Linked DNA regions of Rattus norvegicus. The protein of the gene in region 2 interacts with the protein of the main gene of each other region in a biochemical or structural test. Links are inferred from orthologs where the notes say so. Each region holds a gene or a part of one and is shown on either strand. Other genes may lie near its edges.

Region 1 (7,609 bases), on a different chromosome or scaffold from region 2:
GCTTTGAAGGAGTGGCGAAGGGAGGCAGACTCTACTCCCTGGCAGCCAACAACTTTGGGGTAGCGCCTCTGCCCAGTGTTCTCCTCGTGAGGACTTTATTGGCACATCCTGCTAGGGGGTCAGCTTAAGATTCTTTGGCCAAAAAGAAGAATAGAAAATGCCTGTGGTAGGAAGTGGGCACTGGTCTGAATCTCTGAGGCAGTTACCTTAAGTGACTCTTGGAGCCTGACTCTCATTGAGGTGACATCTGCTTGTATGCAGTGGAGAATACAGTCTGATCTTTCTAAAGAGCCAGGCCTCTTAGGGAAGAGGGAACTGTGTCCAGGGTCTTTCAACAGCTCATCTGGAGCAGCGAGCGCAGTTGGTGGGCCCCACTTAAAGTTAGAGTGCGCCCATTGCTCAAACAGAAGCAGCTAAGGGGAGGGGTCAGGTGCATGTACATCTCCAATACACCAAGGTTATGCTCAGTATCCTCTAGGTTACAATGACCACAGGAGTCTTTGGGACACTAAAAGGTAGTGAGTCATCTCTTTTGGTCGTTCCTGGAAGCATTGAAAATGGATGTCACTATGGGAAACAAATAAAAATATACACTTTTTACAAGGTCATCACCTTGAATGGATCTGAAGGCTATCAATAAGTGAAAATAGCCAGCCTCAAGGGTCACATGTGGTATGGTCCCATTTAGTCACGTCCTTAAGATGCTCCAATCACAGAGGCTTGGTGAGGCTCCCAGGCCTGGTGAGCATGCGTGTGAGTGAAGTTAGCCTCAGTGGAGCTCCTTCCCTTTGCCAGCATCTTAAACAGAAGGGACAGCTCAATGACGAAGACATAAACCGCTAACTAATCTTCCTTTAGAAGAATTCCAGAAACAGAACACTGGCTGCCTTCGGAGAACTTCAGAACACAGAAGGCCGCTCTTTAGTCTTCGAGTCTGTGTATCAGCTGACACAAAGACCTGCTGTGAGGTTTAACTTGCAGTGAAGAAGGTGCTTGTCTAAGGAAACTGTAGGTTCTAGCCCCAGGAGAGCAAGTTTGAGAGATGTCCTGGCCCTGAGACAAAATATCAAGATACATATTGCATGGCTACGACCCACTTAGCAGCAGCCTTCCTGCCCACCACCTCACGGCCACCCCTTTCCCTCCCCATAAAAGCCTGCATTCCTAAGACAGGCTTTGGGGGCCGATCCCCCCTTATCTCCCAGCATGGCAGCCCTCTGTTTATCTGCCCCCCCCCAGCTCTTGGCTCCCAGATATTGGTTTATTAGTGGGGAACAGCCTAGAGGTGGCCCCACTGGTAGTGCTACCCTGAATGTGGCTCTGGGAAATGTGACTGAACAAAAGTGACCTTCACATTTCTGCCCAGACCTCTTCTGGTCTGAGTAGGCAGAGCTGACTCATCACAGAAAGCTCACAAGATCTCCTTCCCTCATCTTTTTTCTTTTCTCAAGATTTATTTACTTCATATGAGTACACTGTCACTGTCCTCAGACACACCAGAAGAGGGCATCAGATCCCATTACAGATGGTTGTGAGCCACCATGTGGTTGCTGGGAATTGAACTCAGGACCTCTGGAAGAGCAGTCAGTGCTCTTAACCCCTGAGCCATCTCTCCAGCCCTTTCCCTTATGATCTTAAGGCTGCATTTACAATATTCATCTCCAGTAAATGACTTACACTAAACAATTTTTGCTGGTCAATAAAAACCTGATTCTTTAAAAAGATGATGGAATGTTTTATTCTGAATTTAGTTCCAAGTTCAGTGCATCCCAGATGAGCACGAATGCCCTAACAGACGAGGACTTTGCAATTCCTTCCGCATGGGCATGCAAGCTGACACAGACAGTGCGACCCTGGACTGCACACACCGCAGACTGCTCTCCTCCAGCTTAGTAAGGATTTCTATTTGGGCAAAATGGCTGTGAGACGGCAGAGCACACTGTGTCCGCGCACACCTCAACAGGGAAGACGTCTGTCATACTCCTTGTGCTCCTTGCTGCTTTGCTCTGCCATCCGCAGGGACGCCCCCGTCCTGGCCCCTCTCCCCTCCGTCCTGGGTGAAGCCTTTCCTCCACTTTGGCTCCTCCTCGCTCCTTCTGGAAAACCTGGCAAACTCTGAGTGAGTGCTGTGCTTTCTGCAACTGTCATGGCATCTCGGAGTCTCAGGCTCTTTCTCTCGAAATCTTTTGTCCCTTGGTTCTTTATCACTGCCGTCCTGTAACCTGTGAGTCGATACAAATGGTTAATAACTAAGGGCAGGTAAGCGTCTCCCTTCTACCCTGAATGGGCTGTGTGAGAACGAGCCCACTGCTACAGAGCTGGGTTAGCAGCCATGGGCTCACAGCACCCGACAGAGGACACGGAGAAGATGGGCAAACAACGCTATCTGCACTGGTCCTGACCGGCAACTATACAATGGCACAGCACTAAGGTACGTGGACACAGTGGACAAAGGAGGTGCCATCCCCAGGGGTGGGAGTGGCACTGAAAGAGGTGTGGCCTTGTTGGAGGAAGTGTCACTGTGGGGTGGTCTCTGTGACCCTCCTCCTAGCTGCCTGAGGATGCTGAGTTCTCTGCTGACTGCCTTTGGATCAAGATGTAGAACTCTTGCTCTGTCTAGAGCACCAAGCCTGCCTGGTCACTGCCATGCTCCTGCCTTGATGATAATGGACTGAGCCTCTGAACCTGTAAGCCAGCCCCAGTTAAATGTTGTCCTTATAAGAGTTGCCTTGGTCATGGTGTCTGTTCACAGCAGTAAAACCCTAAGACAGCATGGTACAGCTCAGACAAATGAGTGACATTCCTAGGTGCCCAGGTGAACTGACATCTAACAGTGCCAGATGGACTCATCCACGCTATGGAAAGGTTCAAGGAGTAGTGAACAAGATGCTTGGTTTATCTGGTTCTTGATGTCTTTGCTCACTTGAACCATGGGCACAACCTAGCACATTCCCTCCGAGTCCTAGCCACATGGGAAGCAGGGAATCAAGAGAGGACCGCACAGTACTGCTGTACATACACTGTGAGGCTACAATGCTAAAACGCAGATCAAAGTGCTAAAGACTACGGAGTTGGTAATCCAACAAGTAGAAGCAGCCTTGGTGTGGGCAAGCCTGGGTGTGTGTGGCAGACACGATACCCAGGGCCTGGGCTGTGCCTGCCCCATCAAGGCTGAGCTCCCTCCAGGTAAAGATAAAGAGGCAGGACCAATGGAAGACAGAGCTGAGGAGAAGAATTATAATACTAAGGCCTATCGCTCCACCACAATAAATAAATAAATACAATAAACCAAACCAACAAACCAACCTCCAAAAGGGACCAGCCCTAAAAGATGGGGCTCTGAAACTGTCGTTGTAGGTACCTGAACCGAGTCACACCTGAGAACTTCCTGCCAGCCTCTCTGTGTCGTCCTTAGTACCACAGAGAGACTGCGGAAGAGTTGGAGTAAAAGTGGGTGTGAAATCCCAACACGCCCAGGAAAGCACTCGTAGGTGTGGTTCACACAGAAAGCAGGACTGGACAGCAGACCTGCAGACCTAAGCCGGGAGGAGGCGAGGGCAGGAGACTTCCCCGCTGAGCTCAGACTCAGGCTGCTGGGTCACAGTGTTCACCACGCTAGGTCACTGCGATAGGAGCGCTCACCTCTCCCCAGGTGTCTCCGGCTGGCTCTCCACCAGCCGGGCTTCCTGCTTCTCCTCGCCAGCACCAACGGCTTCACCTCTTTCTTTGTGTTTCTCAGTGGTCGCTTCTTCTCCCGTTTCCAGTTTCTTAAGAAGCTAAGAAATCGTAACATTGATGTGATTTACTGTGTGATTTATTACTGTATGATTTATTACTGTGGCCCAGTGGTTAACCCTTGCTGCTCTTCAAGAGCACCTGGGTTAGGTTCCTGTCACCCACACGGTAGCTCACAACCATAATTAACGCCAGTTCCAGGGGACTCAGTGCTCTCTACTGGCTTCTCCTGGTACCAGACACACATGTGGTGCACATACATACGCATTTTGCTAACCATGGACATGATCCTTACGTATTAAAAGTAACAGTTGGGGCTGGAGAGATGGCTCAGCAGTTAAGAGCACCGACTGCTCTTCCAGAGGTCATGAGTTCAATTCCCAGCAACCACATGGTGGCTCACAACCATCTGTAAAGAGATCCGATGCCCTCTTCTGGTGTATCTGAAGACAGCTACAGTGTACTTATATATAATAAATGAATAAATCTTAAAAAAAAAATCAAAAAAAAGTAACAGTTAATGATGGTTGATGCTTTCTTTATATTGTGTATTCAGAACCCCCTAAGGCATCTCAAATCCTCTGTGGAGTAAGGTGAAATCTCAGTTTTAAAGACTTCTCAGGGGGCTGGGGATTTAGCTCAGTGGTAGAGCGCTTGCCTAGGAAGCGCAAGGCCCTGGGTTCGGTCCCCAGCTCCGAAAAAAAGAACCAAAAAAAAAAAAAAAAAAAAAAAGACTTCTCAGCAGAGCTGATCCGATCCTAACCAATGGATTGAAAAATCTCTTCAATCCATATAAATAAACGCACCTGCCATGGGAAAAACTGGACATGAGGCTGAGACTCCCTTGGCCCCCTGCATCCCCCAGTGCCTCGTCCTAGCCCTGAGGTACTGAGGGGGACACTGAGGCCAGCTGGAAGTTCTCAGGTGCAACTCGCTTCAGTCACAAGAATTTAAAGCATGGATGGGCTCTTCCGGTGGTGTGACCCATTCTACATCACAGTCAGAGGTTGTCCCTGCCTCCTCCTCAGTACACAGGTCATGGGGGACGGCTGAACTCGGGGGACTGTTATAGAATGGATGTAAGGCACTGGGATAAAGGGCTAGATGGCCTACACGTGATGACCTTAAAGAGTTACGGTAGACACTTCAGTGGCGTAACCACGGTGACAGAGCCGCACTGCTCCTGCAGTTACCTTGATCCTCACGTCCTTCTCCGCTCGCTTCTGTTTTTCTGCATCTTTCCTTTTACACCTGTCCTCTTCTCTCCGCTTCCTCTTCTCTTCCTCCCGCAGACGCTTCTTCTCCAGCTCCCTCCTCCTCCGCTCCTCGCGTTTTTCTTCCCGGAGTCTCTGAAGGTACATACAGTCAGACACAAATGTAAGGCTCCTGTGTGGAAGCAGCAGGTACAGCACAGACGCTCACCAGGTCAAACGCCACCTACCTGCTTTTCTAATTTTCTGTTTTTAATATATTCCAAAAGAGGTGTGGTTCTTCTGGCTAAAGAACAAAAATTATAATACATTACACATAACTTGTAAGTTCAGATTTATTTTAAGTACTTATTTCCAATTTAACATTAAAATAATTAGGGGAAGAACACTATCTCTAAAATGTACGTGAGTATGCCCTGTACCTGGGAGCACTCTTATTCTGTTGTTACATATTCGAGTAATTTGTAGGTACTGACCACTCTGTATCCACTGACATACCACTCTTCTAAGTTCTTACTAGCATATATCAATTATGCATAATAATGGGCTACTATGACATTTCTTATACATATAAAATGTACTTTGACCACAGTTACACTCTACGACCTACCCACGACCCCGCCCTCTCCTGCTGACCCTTTTCTTCCCAACTCCTCCTCCTCCAGTCCCCCTTTGTCATTGTTTCCCAATGAGTTTAATCAGAGCTGTTTGTAGGAGGAGAATGGGTATGCAGTTATTTACTGAACCACAGGCGACTGAACAGTGAAGAGAAAGTCACACATTTTTTCTTAGAAAAGGTCATAAGAGAGCCTCAAACTGAAGAGCAGACCCGAGTGTGCTGCAGTCCTGGAGTAACTGAGGTGGCGACAACGCCACGGTTTCCTTGCATGGACAGAAGCTCTCGGTTCTCCTGCGAGCAGTTACAGCAGCTAAGAAAGCGCTTCGAGACAGACCCCAACCCTAACGAGGAGACTCCTGAGGCCTTGGCCGAGGAACCCAAACTGGCAAAGGATGCATTAGGCACTGGTTCTTCAAGAAGAGGCGCGAGACGATGCTCAAGGGGTCGTCTAAGGCCTGCGAGAACTGCAAAATGTGCTGCTGCCACTGTACGTCAAGAGGAACCACCAGGCAGAACCCCAAGGAGTCCCCTCAAAATGACCCTGGACCCGAAGCTTTGGAAGCCTTGAGGAGTCCCACACTCTCTTCTGGGTACCGTAGCAGAGATAACATGTCACGGGTTTCTGACCTGTCAACCTCCTTGTTGGGATTTATGTCTATGGAAGGTACATTAACAATAAAGCTTGCATTCATAGAAACTAAAAGAAAAGCCATAAACTATCGCTCACACAGTTGACAGAAAATGTGTATGTATGACATCGGAAGCGTCTCAAATGCTACTAATTTATTTTTACTTCTGAAGTAATGTTTACAAATTTACTTTCCTGCTATGCACATTTTCAGAATTTTTTCTTCTTCCACTGTTGGGTTTTTTTTTAAAAAAAGATCTATTTAATTTTATTTTATCTGTAAGAGTGTTTTGTCTGTATGTATGATGTGTACCATGTTTGTGCCTGGTGTCTGTGGTGGTCAGAAGAGGCTGTCAGATTCCCTGGAACTGAAGTCAGTAACCGTGTGGGAGCTGGGAACTGCTCTCCTCTACAGAAACAAGTGCTCTCGGTGCTGAGCCATCTTTCCAGCACCGATAAAACAGTCTTTAATACATGCCAACCCAATTTAAAAGTCCAAAATCAAATGCCCCCAAGTAACATTTTGAGCTCTGACGTAACAACACAAGTGGGAAATTCTATACGTACTTTTATGAGATAGGCCAGTCAAAACAGATACACTGCTCCACAGTCTTCAAATGTGAGCGCATGGCGAGAAGATGGGGATGGGCCTGCTCTACGGACCTTTAAGATCTCATAGTGAACAGGCGGGGAAGAATCCTTGGACATACCTGAGAGTTCACGTGATACTGAGGACCTTGGATACCTGGCTAGAGACACATGGTACTCAGCCTCACAGAGAGTGGGCATGCTCAGTAATGCCCACGCATTATGGCAGGAGCTATGTCGTGGATGTAATCAGTCTGGCAGAAATGAATTAACTTTAAAGAGACACATTGGCTATCAGATTTGCAAAACAAAGGATCCCAAGATAAAGTTCAATAAGACTACCTTATCTCTCCTCCCTCCTAATTACAACAGTTTACAGAGCTCAACAAGGAGATGGTGTTTGCCGTGGCCATGAAGTGCCAAGCCTCAGAGATAATCCTAAGCTGGTCCAGTCGGAAATCCTGTCCACACAAGCTTATGACTTTATTTAAACCTTGAACTTCATGTCCGAGATTCTGATTAAAGGCAGACTCAGTTAACTACAGATGCAGCCTCCACGGCCCACATCTGGAATGAAGCTCTGAGCAAGATCCAGCAGGCTGAGGCCCCAAGGACAGACGCCCTCCGTGGGAACAAACTAGGTTCCAATCCTCAAAGAGGACGTCTCAAAGTAGCCTGTAGTGACGCCCTGATGGCAAGGGGACATTTGAGGTGACTTCTGAAGTACCTAAGCTGCCTTTTCTACCTTCATAAATTTAACATGTTTGAGTCAAATCTCGAGTTTTGTCCCCGAAGTCTCCTTGTCTGTCTTTTCTAGGTATACGTGGA
Region 2 (8,049 bases):
TTGTATTCTTCATTCTCCCCCTTTCCCTCCTTGGAGCATCTCCTTCCCTTTCATGACACCCACACTCTCACTGGCTTTCCTTTTTCTCATTGATATCTCACTCACAAACCTCACTTTTTTTAAAAAATAGTTTTTACTTTTAATGTTCAGAATTGGATATTAATAAATCTGTTTATTTCCTGCTTTTTTTCTTTATTTTAAATTGGATATTTTATTTATTTACATTTCAAATGTTATCCCCCTTTCCCAGTTTCCCCTCTACAAACCCCCGATCATGTCCCCCCTTCCCCTGCGTCTATGAAGGTGCTCCCCCACCTACCCACCCACTCCTGCCTCACCGTCCTAGCATTCCTCTATACTGGGGCATCAAACCTTCACAGGACCAAAGGACTCCTCCCATTGATGCAAGATAGGGCCCCTTCAGCCCTTCCCCTAACTCCTCCATTTGGGGTCCCCACTCTCAGTCCAATGGTTGGCTGCGAGCATCCTCCTCTGTATTGGTCATGCTCTGGCAGAGCCTCTCAGGAGACATCCATATAAGGCTCCTGTCAGCAAGCACTTCTTGGCATCAGCAATAGTGTCTGGGTTTGGTGTCTGTATATGGGATGGATCCCCAGGTGGAGCAGTCTCTGGATGGCCTTTCCTTCAGTCTCTGTTCCACTCTAAAGTCCGTGTTTCCTTTAGACAGGAGCAATACAGACCTAACTTTTATATACTTAGAAGTTTCTCTGGGGCTAGTCCTAAGCCTTCTGCTTCTTGATAATTTCTTTGGCAATCTCTTACCCATTCTGTGGCTGTAAGAATGGTTCCCTATGTGATGACAGTTTAACTTAGGATTTTTTGACTTTATGATGGTACAAACGTAAACTTACATTCAGTAAAAACTCACATTTTGACATTTTTTTTTGCCTTGAGATAGCAAACTTTGGCCTGGAGGCTAGGCAGCTGCAGTTCCCCGTTGGCTATGTTAAGGGCTCATGAGAGATAGCAGCTAAGGCTCTAAGCACACTGCACTGCTGAGCTAGGATGTTAGGAGGTTAGGGGGCTGAAATAGTTTCAGTTTGGGTTGAAGACGCAAGCCTGTTGTAAATCGAGCAGCACCTGTAATGTTGATGATTAAATTTTCATCTCTCGGGCAGAGTTCCTTCTCCTGTTTCAACTGTTCACTTAATTGTATCTAGCTGGATAACACAGGCTTTAGTGTACTAAACATATGGTTTAGTGCTGGGGCGCAAACCCAGGGTTGTCTGCGTGCTAAACAAATGCTCTACCATTGAGCTCAATCCTTAGCTCCTCTTCTCTTTTGATCCCTGTGATCACAAGATTTCCTAATAAACCTGATAACAAGACAGGGGTTGACCTGTTTAGGATGAGAACTTGTTCATCAATACAGGGGTAAATCTTTTTTTTCTTCTTCCTCTTTGAAAAGTTAAAAGAAAATTCGTGTGTGTGTGTGTGTGTGTGTGTGTGTGTGTGTCTGGCTGGATGTACAGACCTGCACTGCAGAGGCCAGTAGAGAGCACCAGAGTTCCTGGGTCTGGAGTTGCACGGTTGGTTGTGGTCTACCATGTGGGTGCTGGAAACTGAACCCAGTTATCTGCAAGAGCTGCAAGTGATTCTAACTCTTTTTTTTTTCTTTTTCTTCTTTTTTCTTTTTTTCAGAGCTGGGGACTGAACCCAGGGCCTTGCGCTTGCTAGGCAAGTGCTCTACCACTGAGCTAAACCCCCAACCCCGTGATTCTAACTCTTAAGCCATCTCTCCAGAGCCCACATTTTCTCAGTTTTTAAATGGGGTCCTGAGTTAGAGCCCAGGGCTTCATGCAAGATAAGGCAATGTTGTATGTAAGCTCTGTTACCCAGACCCAGGAAACAAACACTTTTTGCTGTTGCTGTTGTTGTTTGAGATAGGATTTTGCTAAGTGTGCCAGGCTGGCCTCTAACTCGTAACAATCCTCCTGCTCCAGCCTCTCAGTACTGAATTACAGATGTGAACCACCACCACACCAGATCTGGAGCAGGGTAAGGCAGACAAATTAAGAAAAGAAAACCCCGGGGTTGGGGATTTAGCTCAGTGGTAGAGCGCTTGCCTAGCAAGCGCAAGGCCCTGGGTTCAGTCCCCAGCTCCAAAAAAAAAAAAAAAAAAAAAAAAAAAAAAAAAAAAAAAAGAAAAAGAAAAGAAAACCCCAAACTTGCAAATGGTCCTCGGTTGTGTGGTATCATAGAAAAAAATTATAATTACTTATCAATGGTATAAATTGCAGCATTCACCTCTTTCCTTTGGTAAGGTACCCTTTATGTGATTAACCTATTGGTTATTTTGAACAAGAAAAAATTAACACAGGAAGTGCACAATTTGAAAGAGAATTTACTTACAACTAATAATGAAGGGAGCAGGGAGAAAGCAAACGAGCAAAGGCTGAATACAAAGGGGCAACGACATCCCAAGCATTAAGGATGCTAACAGATCATTCATTATATGAGCTTGAATACTGGTGTGGCTCCTCGAGTCAAGCAGGAATCCAGTCTTGTTTTGCACCTTTGATCCATTGGCTACAGGCCAGCCAGAGCGGTACCATATGTACATCCAACCAGACCACAATTTCAACACGAATCGGAGGTCAGACGCACATTTATATCCACTTGGGAAAACAGGTTGTGCAGCTGATAACGCACTTCAAAGTCAATTTGGTTCAAGTTCGTAACCCCATCCCTTAAAAAAAAAGGGGGGGCGATTTCATTCCACTGTGGAATTTAAAATACTTACAATAAAGGACTTTTTGTATTTCCCATATGGGAAAAGCCTTGACTGCTCTCAATTCTAGCTGTTTTTTTCAGGCCCAACACCTGAAACTGGTTCTGGAAACCCCCCACCCGTCTAGTCCTACTCCGAAGCAACCTCTACCTTCCTCACCAGCCATGTTCTTTAGCTTCTCCAGTTTTCAATTCCTTAAATCTTCTTCAATCTCTCGGTATTAGTCCAATCAGACTTTGCCTCCTCGAACCCCTTCCCCGCGTTCGCATCAGGCAACCCCCTTGAGAACTGGGTGACCAAACTTGACCCCGACAGCGCCCCGTAATTCTACTATCCCACCACTCTTCTACGCCTCTTTAGAGTTCCGCCCCGCCTCATTCCCGCTCCCCCCGCCCCAACCCGTGAATTGCCTGCGCCTGCGCACCTCCAATTCAGGCGCTTTCCCTTTCCTGACGGCCAATCCACTTCCCGCCTCCGGTCCTTGGAACACTCCTCCCCTCTGCTGGGGCCCTGAATGAAGGTGCTGGAAGAAGCTGTCCTAGATATTGCCTGTATAAAAAATTTACAGATAGGAGAATTTCAACGAATCACTGAAGAAGTAGAGCACCCTCGAGACTGGGTATACATTTATCACTTCAGAACCCGAATGGGGGTCTGGACACGCAGAAAGGACCGGCAGCGATGGTCAATTTGGATTAGGCAGTAATGCGGGCAGCCCTTTCCTTTCCCCCTTCCCTCCGCCCCGCCCCCCTAGCTGCCCGGCCGCGTTGGTGAGTGGCGGGCGGGAGGGCCGACGGGCGGAGGGAGGAGGGGGAGCTGAGGGAAGGCGGGCCCTCGGCTGCGAGATAGGTGGGGGGAGGGGAGGGGAGAGCCCGAGCTCTGGAGTTGGTGCTGGGAAACCCGGGGCTAATGTTGACAACAGGCACTAGGTGAGTCCCAGGGATCCTCCTTCCCCTCCGCTCCGACGATAGGCAAGAGCTGGCGCGGAGGGGTACCGGCCTGGACTCCTACTCCCCGAGGGACCCGAGAGGCGACTCCGCACTCCTGCTCTCCGGGGGCGGCGAGCAGTGGAGGGACGAGCGGGTCGGACGTCGTTCTCCTCAGACCCCTCTCCCGGAGGGTCTGGTCAATGTGAGGGATCTCTCGGCCGGGCCGAGGCTGGCGTGAGGGGCGACAGAAGAGGTGTCTGCCCCACATGCCTGGGCCCAGCCTCGGGGCTGGAGGCGGGGGAGTCTGCTGTGGAGGGGGAAGGTGTTCGGGGGCGTGGAAGAGTGCGTGGAGAGGCTGGGGCGAGCTCCGGAGTCCGGAGGGAAGCGTGGACGGGGGAGCGGGGAGGATGTAGAGTAGTCAGACAAGCTCGAGAGGCTTCGGTGCTGAGGGAGTGTAGGTTGAGAAGTTAGGGTTGGGGCTTAGATGTCCTCAGGGAATAGGAGTTGTGGACGGGAAGTATGTCAATGGTGGGACCCTGAACCACAGCGGGGGTTTGTGGGAGATTTGTGGGTGATGCGTGTGCAGGGGAAGAGGCTTGGAGTGGACCCGCAGATGGTGAGAACTGGGCTGTTTGGGTTTACTTCCTTTTAATCAGGTAGGCTAGTTGATTCTTCGACTCTTCCTCAAGGCTCTCATTACTTCCCTTACGAGTACTGTTGAACTAAAGAGGTGATCACACGGTGTTTGATCTGGTAAGCCAAGCAGAGGCTGCTTACAGGTTTTGGGGATACGCATGGTAGCGAATAGCTCAGCTCTTAGAAAAACTTAAATGTATCAATTGACACGGTAGATGAAAGTAAGGCTCTTAACTGACCCTTCTCATTTGTCATAGTTTTTAGGTGTTCATAAAAGTCGTACAAATCATCGGGCAAGCCTTTATTGAGCTGTGGTGAAATTTCTGAAAAATTTGAGTAAGTCTCACACATACATATAAGATACATAATGACTTTGTAAAAGAATAAACTCAGAGACCAGAAGATATCCCTGTGCTGTTCTACCTTTAGAACATTTTGAGTTCAAAACCCAGACTTGAAGAGTAAACCAGCATTCTCCTACTCTGTAGTATTTTCAGAGCAGTCTGATTGTGATTTCATACATAGACCATATGGTACTTAGCAGACTTATAGCTGTATTAGGGAAACACATCCCTTCTCTGTCCTCTCTCAGGACATTGCCTTAGAATCTGTTTTACTAGTAAAAGAGTCCTTTTTTACTTTTTCTTTTGGGAGTTTAGAATGTAATTAGAAAGGCAGATAAAATAATACAGATCGAGTGCCTAGGGTGGTGTTTTGGGAGCTGGAAAGGTGGTTTTCAACCATACTTTCAGCCCGTTTACAGGCTGTCTGAATATAATTGTAATCCGGCAGAGTAGTTTGTAAAAGTTAATCCTATTTCAACTTCAACACCACTAACTTTTATATTCATTATTTTATTACATGGGGAATTTGGAAACACTTTAGGTGAATTATTTAGCTGCTATTAAATACGAATCTAGCGTTTTTATTAGATTTAATTTATTATATTTAAATTGACAGGATACAAATGTGTCTTGTTGGATTCACGTTTGTTTTTTAGTTAACTTGGTGCGTGTGAAGAGTGGAAAAGAGCACTGGGTAGCTCCTGAGGCAGATGGGTAACCTTGGGCAGCTAGCGCTGTCGTCAGCACCAGAAGCTTGGAGTGGGTAGAGCCCCGTAGTCTTTAATCCTAAAGATCTCTCATCTTGTACCACCTTTTCAGTGTCAGGTGTGAAAGAGAGCTGACATTTATTTAGTGTCTTTCTCTATGGTAGCTACTGTGATGTAGGCTAGTAACTCTAGGGAACACCAGCTCCATTTTATCTGCAAATAAGTAGAATAAACGGAGAAGTTAAGCTGCCTGATTTCCGTAGCTAGTAGGGTCCAAAGCTGGGATACACACTTGAGGCTGACTTGAACACCTGTTCTCTTTGCTCACGTCCCATTGCTGCCTGTACTTTTGGTTATAAATTTGTTAGCTGGAATTTGGTTTTGACAAAGGACTTACAGATCTCTTTGGGAATCTGTTCTGTCATCCTCTGAAGCAGGAAGTGTCTTAGTTTGCTATTGACTGTCACTGTCTATTAGTGTGCTAGTTACTTACATTTACCTAATAAACGAACATTGGTGAGTCATGGCAGTTTGGGACCCTGCAGAGCTTATAAATGATGATCTTTCATGGATTTGTCAGATAAAGAGTAAGATTGTCGATTCTGTGGAAAAATTTAAAATTTAATTTATAAGGAACACTTTAGTTATAAATTCTGATGTTGATTTTGTTGTCTGAGAACTGTGTGTTCTTGTAATCTTGAAATACCTTGTTTATACTTCACATCACAAAATACAAATTCTATAAAATTTTGTTGCATATAACGATTAATACCCTTAAGTAAGATCGTATTGTTACCTTAAACAGGACGTGTCTCCGTAGGTTCAGCCAGTGTGCCAGTAAGCTAAGAGCTTCACGGAGCAAGTGCCAAAGCATTATTAGGCCCCCTGCTGAGATTCACAGTTCTATGACTTGTCATAGTCGGGGTCTGTGATCAAGTCTTCCATCTCACAGGCCGGCGCTCTCAGGGTTCTTAACTTTGGTTAAGACTGTGAATTCACATTCCAGTTCTATCACCAGCTGTGGGGACCTTGGTCAAGTTACTTGGTTAAGTCTCAGTTTACTCATTTATAAGTAGGGAAGACAATACCCACCTCATAAAAGCTTTAGTATTAAGTGAGACAATATACATAAAAGGTTTAGTGTGGTACCTGTGACTAGACACTGGCATTACACTGTTTGAAGGTTGGGTTAGAGCGTGGTGGTGTCACAGTCAAGGCGGTATACACTGCAGGGTAAGAGGTAAATGAGAGTAGCGGGGAGGCTGAAGGAAGGTGGAGGCTGGTACTAAGCTGTCTATGGACCTTCAGCACTCTCCTGGTCTAGGTTGTCTTTCTGGTCATATTTTAACTCTAAAGTAGGAAATTCCTTATTTATTGATACTTTATTATTGCAAAGGCTTTAGTTATTAACCTGGGATTTCTTGCTATAATTTAAATGCTGTACTTGAAAATACTTAAGACAACTTGTACATCCTTACCTTTTTCCAAGACAGCAAGAAGTTTAAATACTTTTATACTTTGTAAATAAAATTGTGATTTTTCTCATATGTAACTTGCAGATAATTTAGAAGTCAAAACATAAAAGCAGTGCCTGAACGTTGTGTGAGATACCTAGCTCTAGTAGAGAAGTGTATTTTTTGAGAAGGCCTACATTTTGGTGAGATATACAGGTTTTTTCTTTCAGTTTATGTAGTTTCCAGTTAAGCATGTGAGTTTGTTTAGTGCTGTCCAAATAGCACATTCTGTGATGGTGGAAATGTTTGGTATCTGCACTGCCCTGCTTGGAAGCCACTGGTCATGAGGAATTGAACACTTGAAGTGCGGTGGCCCTGAGCAACTGAATTACAGGTTTTATTTAAGTTGAATTTGTGTGTAAGTGGCTTAGTGCAGTACTACTAAGTAGTACTACTAGTAGTAGTTTTTCAGCCAGTGATACTTATGTCCCTCAGGAGCATTTATTATCTGGAGTAATTTGTTGTCATTTACCACATGGGAGGCACAGAGGTGCTTAGTTGCTTCAGGTTTATAGGATAACCTTTAAGTTCTACAAAGAATGAATTATCTGATAGGCTGAGGCTCTAGCTCAGTGGTAGAGTGCTTACCTTGTGGGCAAAAAGCCTGACTTTCATTTCTAACACTGCTAAACAAACAAAAAAACCCAAAAAACCCCACCAGACTTGCTCAAAATGATAGCAGTGCTGAGGTTTAGAAACTGGACTACTGGCTGCCCTGCTGACAGTACAGAACAGAATATGCAGGTCTTATTAATCATTGTGCTTATAAACATTCTCTTGTACTAATGAGATTGAAGGCCTGCTCTAATTTGAGCGAGTTTTTTATTTTACAAGTTTGATAAGATTATAGTAACGGGTAAAATTTATGACTCAGAATTCTATACTCTGTTCATTGGTTAGGTGGAAGCAAGAGTTTTTGCTTTGTAACTCCTCTCTTGAGTAAATACGTTCCAAGAATATTGCATGAAGTAGTAAATCAGGATCTCTATCTCTTCCCTCATTTTGGAGTGCTGAGACGTGGGCTTCCCTCATTAGATAGCATTCTCTCACTGAACTGTGATCACAGCAAAAGAGTCAGACTTATTTGCTTGTTTCACAGTGCGGAGGATTGAATGAATTTAGGGCCTAAGACATGCTTGTCCACTGAGCTGCATCCCCAATGGAGGT

The links. The genes of interacting proteins can lie anywhere in the genome.
Region 1: the proteins of Upf2 (region 2) and Upf3a form a complex in vitro, tested with the Homo sapiens proteins (2 studies listed by IntAct, with this or other methods). The link is inferred for Rattus norvegicus from reciprocal best matches to the Homo sapiens genes UPF2 and UPF3A.

Annotation. Positions count from the first base shown.
Region 1 is NC_086034.1:82,457,932-82,465,540, forward strand, and holds the end of Upf3a (regulator of nonsense transcripts 3A), read right to left. Parts: intron 5,233-7,609; coding exon 5,177-5,232; intron 5,085-5,176; coding exon 4,929-5,084; intron 3,777-4,928; coding exon 3,643-3,776; intron 2,223-3,642; coding exon 1,976-2,222; 3' UTR 1,720-1,975; downstream 1-1,719. UniProt on the Homo sapiens protein: Involved in nonsense-mediated decay (NMD) of mRNAs containing premature stop codons by associating with the nuclear exon junction complex (EJC) and serving as link between the EJC core and NMD machinery.
Region 2 is NC_086035.1:77,240,739-77,248,787, reverse strand, and holds the start of Upf2 (regulator of nonsense transcripts 2), read left to right. Parts: upstream 1-3,521; 5' UTR 3,522-3,681; intron 3,682-3,767; exon of another isoform or gene 3,768-3,883; intron 3,884-4,297; exon of another isoform or gene 4,298-4,434; intron 4,435-4,574; exon of another isoform or gene 4,575-4,653; intron 4,654-6,164; exon of another isoform or gene 6,165-6,276; intron 6,277-6,294; exon of another isoform or gene 6,295-6,413; intron 6,414-7,981; exon of another isoform or gene 7,982-8,049. UniProt on the Homo sapiens protein: Involved in nonsense-mediated decay (NMD) of mRNAs containing premature stop codons by associating with the nuclear exon junction complex (EJC).